Canis lupus familiaris: one gene and its partner. The protein of the gene in region 1 interacts with the protein of each later gene in a pairwise test. Links are inferred from orthologs where the notes say so. Each region holds a gene or a part of one and is shown on either strand. Other genes may lie near its edges.

Region 1 (7,612 bases):
GTCATCTGTGTATGACAAGCAGGGTGTGTACGTGTAGGACTGAGAGCTGAACATGCCTGTGCATGGCTATTGGTGAGCTTGTTTATTGGACACGTACTCTGCATGAGGCACTATGCTAGCCTTTGAACTTCCGAAGGTGAGCATGACTGACTGTGGACCCCCGCACCCCCTGCAGTGGAGCCCACTCTGCAGATCCTCTTTATGCCTCTAGCTCAGGGAAGGGATATGTGGGCTTTCGGTGGGGCTCAAAGTCCAAGACTGAAAGGGTAGTCAGTATTAGGTCATAAAATAAACAGAACAAATTTCCCAGGTATCAGAAAGGAGGGGGGAAAGGGGGAAAGCCCATTTTTTGGGGGAGAAATTGATGTTTGAAAAAGTGATAAAGTAGTCATTGTAGGAAACCAAGACTTTAACTGAGCTTTGGCACTTTGTTTATTTTTCTTACTTTTTATTGAGGTATAGCATAGTTTTCATGAATGTTAAGCAAACGGCCTGATGAACATCATGTTAAATACACCAGCCAGATTAAGATGCAGAGTGTTCCCAGCACCCCAGTGGTTTCCTAGAAATTGCCATCTCCCAGTCAACTTATTTATTTTTATAAAGGTAATACATATCCATGCTATAACATTCAAAAAAAAAATGTAGGCGAAGAAAACATCCAGATCACCAACAGACACATGCTCAACATCGCTCATCATCAGGGAATGCAAGTCAAACCCACAATGAGATACCATCTTATATTCGTCAGAATGGCTAGAGTCAGAAAGACAAGAAATAACAAATGTTGGTGAGGATGTGAAAAAAGGGACCCTTGTGCACTGCTGGGCGGGGGGGAGGTCAATTGGCCCAGCCACTGTGGAAAACAGTATGGAGGTTCCTCAGATAATTAAAAATAGAAAAACCATTTGATCCAGTAATTCCACTACTGGGTAATTACCCACATAAAACAAAAACACTAATTTGAAAATTAGTGAAAATTTGCCACTACGTTCACTGTGGCATTATTTACAGTAGCCAAGGTAAGGAAACAATCCAAGTGTCTAGCGACAGATGAATGGATAAAGAAGATATAATACATACATACGATGGAATATTACTTGGCCATAGAATGAATAAGATCTTGACATTTGTGACAACATGGATGGATCTAGAGGGTACTAGTGAAATAAGTCAGGGAAAGACAAGAACATATGATTTCACTTATACGTAGAATCTAAAACACAAAACAAATGAACAAACCAAAAGCAGAAACATCCATAAACACAGATAATAAACTGATGGTTGCCAGAGGGAAGGGGGAGGGGAGAGGGACAAAATGGGTGAAAGGGGAGTGGGAGGTCCAGGCTTCCAGTTACAGAGTGAAAAACCATGGGGATGAAAGGCACAGCATAGGGAATATAGTCAGTGGTATTGTAATAATGTTGGATGGTGACAGGTGGTTGCTCTGCCTGTGGTGAGCGGAGCGTACTACATAGTCTTGTTGAATCACTATGTCGTACACCTGAAACTAACAACATTGTGTGTCAACTACACGTCAATTAAAAAAATAAAACCGGCATAAGGGAGATGTAAATATCCCTCTCAGCCCTCTCCCCCAGGCTCCCTCCCTGGGGGAAGCCACCAATCTGAGTTTTCTGTGTTTCCTTTGTTGGATTGCTTTCCTCTTGTTTTGGTTTGGTAGCATTTGTGTGTTTTTTTTTTTTAATTTTTATTTATTTATGATAGTCACAGAGAGAGAGAGAGGCAGAGACACAGGCAGAGGGAGAAGCAGGCTCCATGCACCGGGAGCCCGATGTGGGACTTGATCCCGGGTCTCCAGGATTGCGCCCTGGGCCAAAGGCAGGGGCCAAACCGCTGCGCCACCCAGGGATCCCAGTGTTTGTATGTGGAATTACACATGGGGATCATCATGAGCTCCTGGGGTGTAGGGCCTCTCAATGTCAACCAGCCCTGAGAATATCAATCATGGCAGGGACCTCGGTCCCCAGCCCACAGGAGACAGGCCCCTAGTCACAGTCCTGAGCTCTGAGCCGATTCAGACCAGACCCCTTGACAAGAATCTATGGCTCAGGCATAGGGTGGACATACCCAAGGGGGCTACCCCCACCTGCATTCCTAGATCTGCTGCCCCTTGCATTCTGTTCCTTGGCTCCACTACCTGGTTAGGGCACAGTGGGGCAAAGACTTGGGATAAGAAGTAGAAAAGGTGTAAGTCTGACAGCTGTGCAGGAGTCATTCTGTCCATCCCTCTGTCCCGGTGGTGCCTCTTCAGATGTGTGTGCCAGAGGAGGTGAGGGTGCCTTTCCCTTTGCAAGCATCTGCTTGGCCTTGGCTATTATTTCTAATAAAGTATCCCCTTCCCTGCAGCCCCCAGTGGACAAGAGGTCCCCACCTCTGTCCTTTGAGTCCCCAGGGGCTGGCATACAGCTGCTAAAATCCCTGGCTTGGGAACCACAGTGTGAGGTCACATCCCAGCACCACCCCTTACCGACTGGCTGACCTCAGGCAAGTTCCCTACATTCTGTGAGCCTCAGATTCCTCCTCTGTAAAATGGGGGAAAAAACAGCATGTGCTTTGTGGGGCTATTAGGAAGAATAAACCAGATGAGGTACATAAATGACATGCTAGCATGGTGCCTGGCCTACAGTGAGACTCTGTGGAACGAGAGTTGTCACCGTCACCATTATCACGAGCTTGGACAGGGGAGGGGAAGGGTGTGTGGAAGCAGCCTGTGGAGGAAGATGAGATGGCCTGTGACTGCAGGGGTTCATGCTTATGAAGCGTGGCCTCCACACATCAGGTGCCAGGCATAGCTGTGTCCCTATGTTGTGTGTCGTCACGTTTGCAGAGTGCCATGCTCCTGGAGCCTTTGATGGCAGCCGTGTGGGAAGTGGGCCCCATCCCCACCCCCACTGCCACCCCGCTTGGCTTCTCTTCGCTCTGCCCTAAAACGAGAAGTACAGTGAGTTCCCCCAAGGGGTCGGCCGCGCCCCTTCCTGTCCCCGCCCTGCTGCCGGCTGGCCCTGGGGCCAGTGGAGTGGCAGCCCCAGAACCCACGGCCAGGGCTGACAGGCAGCCTGGGCGCTCGAGCAGAGCCGTGTGGAGGCCTTAGGCCCAGAGCTCTCTGCCCGCCCGGACTCGCCAGTGCACCTCGTTCCCTGCACCCCTTTCCTCTCAGGGAGCCCCCAGGATGGTGAGGTAAGGTCCTGGGGCCTGCGGGATGCAGGAGGCAAGGGGGCCCTGCGGATGGAAGGAAGGACCTCTCCTCATTGCTCTGCGGGCCTCCAGGTGGTTTCACCGAGACCTCAGCGGGTTGGATGCAGAGACCCTGCTCAAGGGCCGCGGTGTCCATGGAAGCTTCTTGGCCCGGCCCAGTCGCAAGAACCAGGGTGACTTCTCCCTCTCCGTCAGGTAGGTGGCCCCCAACTCCGGCCAGGGCAAGTGGCTCCCTTCTGGTTCCCTTGTGGCAGTGCCGACTCCCCAGGCCCCGGCACCCAATGTGTCCCCCCCGCCCCCTGTGTGTGCCTGGGACTCTGGACCTCAGCCCATCCCCCCTCTGTCCCCATCTCTCCTCTTGCACCCACTGGTCTCACCACCCGGTGCCCTGCAGGGTGGGGGATCAGGTGACCCACATTCGGATCCAGAACTCAGGAGATTTCTATGACCTGTATGGAGGGGAAAAGTTTGCGACGCTGACAGAGCTAGTGGAGTACTACACGCAGCAGCAAGGCGTCCTGCAGGATCGAGATGGCACCATCATCCACCTCAAGTACCCGCTGAACTGCTCCGACCCCACCAGTGAGAGGTGAGGGGCTTCCTGGCCCACTCCCACGTGGAGGCGGGCTGACTTCCACCCTGTCCTGCCCAGGGCTCTGTGGGCCTCTTTCTTCTGTGTGATCCCAGGCTCATGCCTCAGGGGACATCACCTTCCCCTTTTCCAGGGTCTCCACCAGCTGGCAACCCAGGCCCTCCTAGTGATGGAGAGGCCTAGTGGCTACATTTGGTAGTAGGCCAGCTCTGTTGTTAGAAAGCTCTCCTTCCTTCTGTGGAAACAAATCTGCCTTGCCATACTATTCTTTCCTCCAGGACAGGTTAATACATGGAGAGATTGATGTTGAGGAGGAACATAGGGACTTATATTTATGAGGACATTTAATGCTTTATCTCAGTAACACAGTGATGACGGGTCTCCTTTTGGGGACTTGGGAGAGCTTGACCAGTCCCTTGCCTGGAACACAGATCGGTGGATAACTATGATATGGTCGTGTGTGCAAGGGGCCTAGTATCTGGGCACAGGGTAGTACTCAAGGCATTGCCCTCCTGTCCCCTTTGGCTCCAAAGATGTGGTCTCCAGGACCGGGCAGGCTGCCCCTCACATGGTCTCCCTAAAGCATGGGTGGGGGTTGGGAGCCTGAACACTCAGCGTTACACTGGGGGCTTATTTCAGCAGCTGTATCCCAGTGACAGCTCCATTAAGGTGAATGGCAGACGAATAATTCTAGTAGCTTTTTTTTTTTTTTTTTTTTTTTACGTTCTGGGGCCAAGGCAGCTTGCTCTTGTCCTGTATTTGTGCATTGACTGTTGACCTAATGATGGACCTTGATTCCATCAGTTTTCACTCTTTCTAAGATGCATGCCTCTTAACTTGCCCAGTATTTTTGTTCAAGTCACTGATGGCAAGTTTGAGATGCGTGAGGATGAGGCCTAGGTGAGGGCCTCGTGGCCCACTGCTGGACACCATTCTCCAGCCAACATGAAGCCATCAATCCGTTTCCTTTGAAGCCACCTCTTGGAGGAGTAAAGCCCAAGCTTGGATGACTGCTCATGGTGGCCCTCCTTGGTCCTTTCTTGGTATCCACACCCTTTTGCCCTCTTCCTCCATCCTGCTGACAGCATTCATGGGGGTTTGCCACTCAGACCCTCTTGAACTCTTGGGGTCCTCTCTTCCTCTTTGGCCTAAACCAGCCTCTGCCCTGCTAGATGGTGGGCTGGTGGAGCCCCTAGAGGAGCAGGAGGTTGTGGATGGAGCCAGAAGAAGGAAGGAGAAGCTCTCCTTGGGAGAGCCTGAGGCCTGGAGTAGCAGGAGGAGGACAGAGCTGGGGGCTGGCAGGGAGGGAAGAATAGAGGGTATTGAGGCCAGGGAAGCTGACTCTCAGAAGCCTTTTTGGTCCCTCACATCAGGACACCTGGCTAACCCCTGACCTTGGGATTGTGTATGGGAGGCTCTTTCTCCATCCCTCTCTTGTGTTCCTGGCTCTGGAGGCTGCCCCTCCTCCTCTGAGGGAATTTGCATTTGTCCCGCCAATGGCTAGCACTCTGCCTGTGGTCAGCCTGATATTTGCATGGAAACTTCCTCATCCTGGGCCAGGGGGACGAGGGTCAGCCCCCACCCCATTGCCAGAGTGGGCGTGTGTGTGTGGGGTGTGCCCTGGTCTATCCCTGAATGGTGGGGTGGGGTGGCCTCCCAGGTACTGCTCCTGGACAGGGCAGGAGTGTGTCTGGGCAGGACCCATGTGCTCCTCCATCCTCCCCCCCATCCCTGCGGTTGGAAAATGCCCCCTCCCCTGGTCCCTGGGCTGAGGAAACCTCACACCCTCACTTCTCACTCTCTCCCCAGAAGGAGTTTTGTGTTTTTTCCATCACGTGGTTTCCTGTGGGGCTGGGCATTGTGGGGCTACGGTTTCCTCCTGGGAAGGGGGTGTGCTTCGGGGAAAGGTCCTAGTTCTGCTTTCTGCCCTTTCTGAGCCCCTCTGAGCCCCAGTCTCCCCTCCAGTGATGTTATCCTGAGCCCCCCAGAGCCCCCCAAACCACCGCTTCCCCCGCAGGGTTGTCTGTCTTCCCTGTTATTGAGGGGTTGGTGGCCCCATGAATCCCTTGTGACCCCCATCTCCACTGCCCTTGCTGTTTGGCCTCTTTGTTTCTCTTGGTCTCCCTCCTCTTTCCCTAATCAGTCCTGGCTTTCCTGGGACCCTTCCTCAGTTTTTCCCCTCCAGTTGTTCTGCATATGGCCTGCCTTTCTGTCTCTGGCTTAACACTCTCAGAGGCAGGTCTGGTTAGAACTCCCGAAGCTTCCTTAGCAGGCCAGGGCCTTGGGCCAGTGTACGATCGCTCAGCTTCAGGTTCCTCGTCTGTAAAATGAAATGGTCCCTACCTCTCAGCATTTTTGTGAGAGCAATGGACCTAAATATGGTGGTGGCTTTGAGGGGTGCCTGGCTGGCTCAGTTGGAGGCGCGTGCAACTCTTGATTTCGGACTTTAAGTTTGAACCCCACGATGGGTGTAGAGATGACTTTAAAAAAATCGTTAAGCCACTTGCGTGGCTCAGTTGGTTAAGTGTCTGCCTTTGGCTCAGGTCATGATCTCAGGGTCCTGGGATCGAGTTCTGCATTGGGCTCCCTGCTCAGCTGGGAATCTGCTTCTTCCTCTTCCTCTCCCTCTGTCCCCCTGACTCGTGCTCTCACACATTCTCTCTCTCTCTCTCTCAAATAAATAAAATCTTTAAAAAAAAGTCTTGGGGTGCCTGGATGGCTTAGTCGGTTAAGTATTTGCCTTTGGCTTCGGTCGTGATCCCAGGGTCCTGGGATGGAGCCCCACGTCGGGCTCCTTGCTCCGAGAAGACTCTGCCTCTCCCTCTCCTTCTGCCTCTCCCCACCCACCTCTCATGCTCTCTCACTCACTGTTGCTCACTCTTTCTCTGAAATTTTTTATTTTATTTTGTTTTATTTTATTTTATTTTATTTTATTTTATTTTATTTTATTTTATTTTATTTTATTTTATTTTATTTTATTTTATGAGAGACACAGAGAGAGAGAGAGAGCTGCAGAGACACAGGCAGAGGGAGAAGCAGGCTCCATGCAGGGAGCCCGACGTGGGACTCGATCCCAGGACCCTGGGGTCACACCCTGGGCTGAAGGCGGCGTTAAACCGCTGAGCCACCCAGGCTGCCCTCTCTCTGAAATTAAAAAAAAAAAAATCTTTAAGATTTTTAAAAAAAAGTCTTAAAAATATATGGTGGATTTGAAAGCATCTAACATGGTGCGTGGCACGTCACAGTCACTCGATTTCCCTGTCCCCCTCTATGAATGTCTCTGCTTGGTGCTGGCCCCTTGGCTCAAGTATCACCTTCCCCAATGTCGCCTTCTCTAGGTGGTACCATGGCCACATGTCTGGGGGGCAGGCAGAGACACTGTTGCAGGCCAAGGGTGAACCCTGGACATTTCTCGTGCGTGAGAGTCTCAGCCAGCCTGGAGATTTTGTGCTGTCCGTGCTCAGTGACCAACCCAAGGCTGGCCTGGGCTCCCCGCTCAGAGTTACTCATATCAAGGTCATGTGTGAGGTAAGGCCACTGAGTGGTGGGAGGGCATCCTGCCAGGCGCCAGGTGGGGAGGATGAGCCTGGGCTTTGGTCCAAGGCTGGGGGTCGAGGGAGGGAGACTCAGGTCATGTGAGTGGCCTGACTTGGCATCCCTCAGGGTGGACGCTACACGGTGGGTGGTGCAGAGACCTTTGACAGCCTCACAGACCTGGTGGAGCATTTCAAGAAGACAGGGATTGAGGAGGCCTCGGGTGCCTTCGTCTACCTGCGGCAGGTGAGAGGGGTGGGCCTGGCT
Region 2 (7,622 bases), on another chromosome or scaffold:
TAAGGTACGTATTTCTATTGACATTTACATGTATAAATGATAGCAATCCATGACATAGAATATAATGTATGACATTATATAATATGTAACACTGCACAGTATATTCATATGTAATAATATATTAATGTATTTTCTTACATTAATTATATTAGTTGTATATTTAATACATAATGTAAACATACATTCTAATACATTTAAATTATAGATCTGAAATTTTATATTGTAAGTTAATGTTTATATGGGTTAACTATATAGATACATTCTATTTAAATTATATATATAAAGTTTTATATATATACATATATATATAAACATTTCTAGTTCTCATTCTAGTTTTTTTTTTTTAATTTTTATTTATTTATTTATGATAGTCACACAGAGAGAGAGAGAGAGAGAGGCAGAGACATAGGCAGAGGGAGAAGCAGGCTCCATGCACTGGGAGCCCGACGTGGGATTCGATCCCGGGTCTCCAGGATCACGCCCTGGGCCAAAGGCAGGCGCCAAACCACTGCGCCACCCAGGGATCCCTCATTCTAGTTAATTTTCCCATTAAAATTTCGGACCACAAGGACCCTTTCCCTTATTTCCCCAAATAGATCCAGCGTTCAGCAGGTGGGTGTCTGGTGCCTACAAGGAAGTGAGAAGAAAACCCTGGGCAGCCCCGGTGGCGCAGCGGTTTAGCACCACCTGCAGCCCAGGGTGTGATCCTAGAGACCGAGATCAAGTCCCACATCGGGCTCCCTGCATGGAGCCTGCTTCTCCCTCTGCCTGTGTCTCTGCCTCTCTCTCTCTCTCTGAATAAATAAATTAAAAATCTTAAAAAAGAAGAAAACCATTCCTTCACGTTAGTAAGACCAGCACGTCTTCATGCTATCCCATTCAGCAGACCTGAGTGCCATGCCCTGCGTAAACCAACCCCTATATCCCTGAAACAGGGCTCCAGGGTCAGTACACTTACTGCCCCTTTGGCGCATAAGGAAATTGGGCCAGGTGTGATTTTGGTGATTCACCACCGGATATAGAGTCCCAAGGCAGGGCTGGAATCTCAATCCCTGCAGGAGCTGTGGAGCTTCTGCTCCGACCTTCAGTCTGCACAGCAATAGATGGGGCAGCAGGTGAGGCTGTGCACCCCCCACCCATCGGGTTCAGGGTTCTCCTAGAGGGGCTCTCTCTTCCTCTACCTGACCTAATGCCACTGTGGGGACATAACCATCAAGAGCCCTGGTCTCTCCCGCAGAGTCTGAGTTTGGAAGATGAGCTGTTAGTTTCTCTGTGCCTCTAGACCCAGGTTCCTTGCAGAGCTGCCAAGAGTAGGACCCTGCCCACAAGGGGGTGGCCACCACCTGAGGTCTGCCCCTCCCCCCCTTGGGCTGGTTCCACCCCTTCAGAGCTTTGTGCCTTTGGGCATGAAACCTGCAAGGCTTTGCACATTAGAGGAGTTGGGGGGGAGCTCTCAGAGGTCGGAGAGTGCCTCCCACATCCTGTGCTACTAGCATTGACTGCTTTCACAGCACTTGGCACAAGTAGTTCAACCAGTTAGTGGTGCCCTGCAGGTGGCAGCCCCTCACTGTGGTCTCACCAGTCCCTAACCCAAGCCTAGGGGGGTGGAGGCTGGGCCTGCAGCCCGATTGCCAGCATAGAGCACCCCCCCAGCAATGTCCCCAAGCATTGTTACTCACCAGCTGAAGAATAGATGTGTGTGTGTGTTGTGGGGGGTCCTCTGTGACCAGGGCAGAAGGACCGATGCTAGGTGGACACCCCCAGGGTCTATCCCACTCCTGGCCTCTCTGTACCCTGAGCACCCATCCGAAGGCCACATCCGGCCATCACTCAGGCCCAGAGAAATCTGAGGGCAGAGGTGAGATGTCCTCACCTGTCACCACCAGCTGCAGTTCCTTGCTGCGGTCAGACCAGGTGCCGTCTTTATTATAGAGGCAGCGATAGCGCCGGGCAGTGTCTTCACCCACCGCAGGGATGGGGAATCTGGCCTGCGTCTCATGTTGTGGGTTCCTCACATCTTTATGTAGAGCACTTCCCTCCTTCTCCAGGCGGAATGTCTCAGCCCCAGCAGGGCCCTGGCACACGATGGTCACCGGCTGCCCCCGGGGAATCTCAGAGCTCGGCTGGGCCCAGATGGAGGGGCTGGGCAGGACCCCTAGGAGGGAAGCAGAGCAGGTTCTTGGGGTCCGTTCTGAGGAGACAGCCTGTCCTGTCCTGGGAGGTGGGAGGGAGGTCATACATACAGACGGCTCCTACCCGTGGCCACTTTCTGGGGCTGATGGGGGGTGGGGTGGGCTGGGACAGAAACAGTGGATGAAGATGACAGGCCATTTGTGGGAACAAGGTAAGCAGGAGTCTGGAGTTGTAGGAATGGCTCCGGACGGGCTAGCCTCAGCTAGGGGGCGCAATCTGCGAAGCACCAGCTGAAGTCCAGTGCGGGGTGTGCTGGGACACCAGTTCACCTGGTCCCACAGACCTCAGTGGATGAGGATTCCTGTCTGCAATGCAAGTCTTCTGTGGAGCACCCATCTCTGGGTTTGCTCTGTCTTTTCTACTTTCATTTCAGCCTTATTTCTTTTTTTTTTTATTTTTTTTATTTTTTTTTATTGGTGTTCAATTTACTAACATACAGAATAACACCCAGTGCCCGTCACCCATTCACTCCCACCCCCCGCCCTCCTCCCCTTCCACCACCCCTAGTTCGTTTCCCAGAGTTAGCAGTCTTTACGTTCTGTCTCCCTTTCTGATATTTCCCACACATTTCTTCTCCCTTCCCTTATTTTCCCTTTCACTATTATTTATATTCCCCAAATGAATGAGAACATATAATGTTTGTCCTTCTCCGACTGACTTACTTCACTCAGCATAATACCCTCCAGTTCCATCCACGTTGAAGCATCTGCATCACTTGCCATCAGGGAAATACAAATCAAAACCACAATGAGATACCACCTCACACCAGTGAGAATGGGGAAAATTAACAAGGCAGGAAACAACAAATGTTGGAGAGGATGCGGAGTAAAGGGAACCCTCATACACTGTTGGTGGGAATGTGAACTGGTGCAGCCACTCTGGAAAACTGTGTGGAGGTTCCTCAAACAGTTAAAAATAGATCAGCCTTATTTCTACTTCCTTGTTTGTAACGCTCCTAAAAACCCCCGTCTGCCTCAGCTAGGCTGGCGGTGGAGGAAGAGGGGTTTTGTAGTCCTGAAAACAGGAAGGCAGCATCAAAGTTACAAAATCCCTCAGGTGTTATGCTATATGTTGGCAAATTGAACTCCAATAAAAAGAAATAAAAAAAATCCCTCAGGAGGCAGGAGCTGAGAGAGATTCTTTGCTCATTTGTCTGCCTACTCTCTTTCTTTCTTTCTTTCTTTCTTTCTTTCTTTCTTTCTTTCTTTTCTTCTTTCTTCTTTCTTTCTCCTTCCTTCCTTCCTTCCTTCCTTCCTTCCTTCCTTCCTTCCTTCCTTCCTTCCTTCCTTCCTTCTACTGTATTTTAGCATCTATGTATCCATGTACAGATGCTCTCCATGTGCCACTGGTTCTACAAACATGAGAAACACACTCATGATCCCTGCCTTCTCGGGGCTGAGAGTATTGAGGGAGGACAGACACTCATCAAATACTTGTCTGAGTCCACAGATGCAGACTGTGATGCATGCCCTGGGGGTGAGTACGGGAATTGAGGGGTCCTCTTGGGGAGGTTGGAAGGACGAGGCATCTGAGCTAAGAGCAGAGTGTCCAGTGTGAAGCACGCACACTGAGTAGAGAGCAGCAGCCAGGGCATTTGACCTAAAAAAAATCAGTGTGTGAGGAGGTCCAGAGTTGAAGGGGAAATGGTGTTTTTTGAGAAAGAAAGATGAGGTATCTGGAGGTAAGTGAGCTGGACAGTGTGAGGATGGACAGATCTAGACCAAAGAGCAGTTCGTGGGTCTTATTTGATCTGAGCAGAGATGATGAAAGGACTCTAAAAATCTAATATTTTGCCCCAAATAGAAAAAAATATGAAAAATAAATTCCAAAAATGTGAGTGAAATTTTAAAATTATCCTTGAAAAATCAAGTCACTGGTGATGTGTTTTGTATCGAGGATGAAGTTGGGATCAAGGATGGTGTCTGGGACTTGGCACTTGACGACTCTGCTCTCTGCCAAGGGGATGCTGAGAGGGGGGTCTGGGCTTGTGTGGGAGAGCCCTGGGCTCAGCCTGGTCCTGCACAGTTCTAATTGTTTAGGGGGGTGGCTGTCGGAAGCACAGGTGGGGAATAGGGAGAGAGTTTGCAAGGGTCATACATTGGCGATTGTTTGCAATTTGGGGCAAATTTCAGGGCCTCCTCCCAGGCCCTCCCAGGGTCAGCACCATCCTGTCCAGAGCTGCCTTTGGGATGCAAAGAGGATGAGGAGGAGACTCACCCTGCTGTGCGTGGAGCCCTCCACCCAGGCAGAGCGCTGAAAGAGAGGATCTGGTGAGAGAGAGACCACTCCCAGTTCCATCAGGGGCCACCCCAGTCCATCTTCTTGCTCTGAAATAGTCTCAAGACAAGCCCCCGGCCCCCTCTTCCAAATAGGTGCTTCTCTCCCCCAGCCCCTCTGGAGTCTGAATTAATCTCTGTTCTAGAACTGAACCCACATGGTCTGACCTAGGTTGTCTGGGGCAGGAGGTAGGGTGTTGACCTACTTCACTCCCCCAGGATCCTGGAGTCTTCTGGACTGGGGGCAGGACTGGGAAGGGAAGCAGGCCCCCTCCCCAAATCTTCTGCCCACTCACGCTGTCCCCCTAACCCTTTATTTCCATTTCAGGACTCACTGAGGGCCAGGAAGGTGGTCACATGGGGAAACATGCCGAGATCCCTGCAGCCTGCACCGTCCTGGAGCCACTGGGTAGGATAGAGCCTGCAGCCGACACGGGGACAGGATGTGTCAGCTGAGGCATGTTATGGAGTTTCTACATCAGCAGTCCCCCACAAAGAGGAAGCATGTTCCCCTGTCCTTCCCACTTGTCCCACTATGAGACAGAGCGAGGGTTTTGGCCTCCAAAAGATGCCTCTTCCTTCATGCTTGGATGAGGCTGAACTCACCCCCAGATGAACCCCTGAGGGGAAAACCTAATTTTCAACCTCAGGGACCAGGCAGGACATGGCTGTGTACAAGAAAGTGACTTGAATATCTGTCCCAGCTCCAAAAAAAGACCATCTGTTCTTGGGCAAGACATTATGCCACTTTACACCAACATTTCCTCATATTTGAAATGGGAAGCCTAGAATCTTCCTCCCAGCATTGACTATCATAATATTCGTTAAATTCTCAGTCACATGTTGAGAACTTTAAAAATGTTATGCTAACACTACGTTCCCTTCCCATCTTCCCCCAGTGACATTGGAACCAGGGAAATGTAGGGTGCCCACGAGTATATGCAAAACCCTCAAGGGGTGGAATGGCCAGGACACAGACCTCAGGCGCGGGACCAGATGGGACACCCAGCAGTCTGCTGAAATAAAGAGCAGAACCGGGGTGGGGAGCACACTTATGCATCACAGAGCCCAAAAGGACAGGAACCCCGGCACAGATTCTTGTGTCCACCGCTCTGCCAACCTGGAAGAGCCATTTCTCCCAGGCATGGCCATGGGGCACACTGATGGTAGTGACACAGCAGTCATTGCTCACTAGTTCCCTCCTAACAGGAACCTAGAGCTGTTGGAGTGGCTCTGCTCTAAGCTTGGGGCTGGCAGGGTGGGAAATGAAGTTTGGGTGAAGGCAATCTGGCAATCCCATTTCCAGTAATTGATCCAGAGTGGGGCACATGACCAAGTATGGCCAATGATGCTGAGAGCAGAATATACCACAATAACTGGGAATCCTATTTCTCCCTTAAAAATGTAGGGTCTCAGGACACCTTTGCCCCTTTACTGCTGTTCTTCACTAGCAACTGTAGCATGACAATGTGATAAAGCAGTAGCAACCACCTTACAGCCATGAGGCAACAAGCTTGAACAAAACAGCAGACACAACTGGTGTAGGACAACATGAGGTCTAGAATCTGTAGATTGCTAAACCAACCCAAGGACCCCATCCCCCTGGAATTCTTTTTTTAAAAAAATTATTTATTTATTTATGAGAGACACAGAGAGAAAGGCAGAGACTTAGGCAGAGGGAGAAGCAGCCTCCCTGCAGGGAGTCTGATGCAGGACTTGATTCCAGGACCCTGGGATCACAACCTGAGCCGAAGTAAGACACTCAATCACTAAGCCACCCAGGTGCCCTTCTTCCTGGAATTCTTAATAAGTAAAATCCTAGGTTTTCTGTCAAAATATTGGATAAGATATTATGCTGTGTGAAGTAAGCCAGTCGGAGAAGGACAAACATTATATGTTCTCATTCATTTGGGGAATATAAATAATAGTGAAAGGGAATATAAGGGAAGGGGGAAGAAATGTGTGGGAAATATCAGAAAGGGAGACAGAACGTAAAGACTGCTAACTCTGGGAAACGAACTAGGGGTGGTAGAAGGGGAGGAGGGCGGGGGGTGGGGGTGAATGGGTGACGGGCACTGGGGGTTATTCTGTATGTTAGTAAATTGAATACCAATAAAAAATAAATTAACTTTAAAAAAATATTGGATAAGAATATGGACCAACACTCCATCTTCAATTATAACAATTATTTTTAAAAACCTAAAGCTGCTTGATATAATATTTTAAAGAATATTCTCAAGTGCCTTAAAGATATGAAAGCTATAGGGAGGCTAAATAGTCAGAAATTAAAGGAAGTTGGGATTCCCCAGAGTCAAGCTGGATGGCTGAACCTGGCTCTCACCTTGACGGTGATGAGGTAAGTCTTCTCTCCCTGGCCTCACAGATCCTGGAGGCTAAAGGCTAAAGCCCAGAGGTCACCCTGGTCGAGGAGTCTGGGGAGACTCTCCCTTTGCTAGGCCAGAATCTGAAGCTTCCATTTTATTGTAAGAGTGAACTGAAATTACTCACCCATCTCTAAGGGCTGTCAAGAATACGTGTTTTGAAACAGGAGGCCAAAACTGCTTGCTCTTGAAAAATGACCTACACCAGCCAGCCCCGCGAATCTGCACCTTCCTCATCTTTTTTCTCTGTGTGTGTTCCCCCTGGGATCTATTTGTCTCTCTGTCTCTGTCTCTGTCTCCTTCCCTCCTTCTTTCCCACTCCCTCTCCCCTGCGGGATCTATTCCTGGTGGCATTGCCTCCTTTCTCTGCAACTCTGGCTTGCTCACTAGCTGTCCTCAGCATCATGGCCTGGTCCCCTGCTTTGCTTTGCAATCCTTATTCCCTGGAGTAATGCCTCCCACGAACAAAATCCTCCCTGCTCCGTTTTTTGCATAGTCTTTTTTTTTTAAAGATTTTATTTATTTATTCATAGACACAGAAAGAGAGAGGCAGAGACACAGGTAGAGGGAGAAGCAGGCTCCATGCAGGGAGCCGGATGTGGGACTCGATCCCAGGATCACACCCCAGGCTGCAGGGGGCGCCAAACCGCTGCGCCACCGGGCTGCCCTTTTGCGTAGTCTTTATGAGTGATTTTTAATCAGCTTTATTTAGGCATGATCTCATAAAACAAACCGCATCCACAAATGTGTGCAATCCGATGCGCTCCGGCAG

Evidence for each region.
Region 2: the proteins of PTPN6 (region 1) and LAIR1 interact in binary tests that used the Homo sapiens proteins (3 or more experiments, as listed by UniProt). The link is inferred for Canis lupus familiaris from reciprocal best matches to the Homo sapiens genes PTPN6 and LAIR1.

Annotation. Positions count from the first base shown.
Region 1 is NC_049248.1:7,995,453-8,003,064, forward strand, and holds the start of PTPN6 (tyrosine-protein phosphatase non-receptor type 6), read left to right. Parts: upstream 1-3,012; 5' UTR 3,013-3,193; coding exon 3,194-3,201; intron 3,202-3,291; coding exon 3,292-3,414; intron 3,415-3,613; coding exon 3,614-3,808; intron 3,809-7,149; coding exon 7,150-7,339; intron 7,340-7,474; coding exon 7,475-7,591; intron 7,592-7,612. UniProt on the Homo sapiens protein: Tyrosine phosphatase enzyme that plays important roles in controlling immune signaling pathways and fundamental physiological processes such as hematopoiesis.
Region 2 is NC_049222.1:103,669,742-103,677,363, reverse strand, and holds the start of LAIR1 (leukocyte-associated immunoglobulin-like receptor 1), read right to left. Parts: upstream 4,958-7,622; 5' UTR 4,839-4,957; coding exon 4,805-4,838; intron 4,447-4,804; coding exon 4,411-4,446; intron 2,156-4,410; coding exon 1,874-2,155; intron 1-1,873. UniProt on the Homo sapiens protein: Functions as an inhibitory receptor that plays a constitutive negative regulatory role on cytolytic function of natural killer (NK) cells, B-cells and T-cells.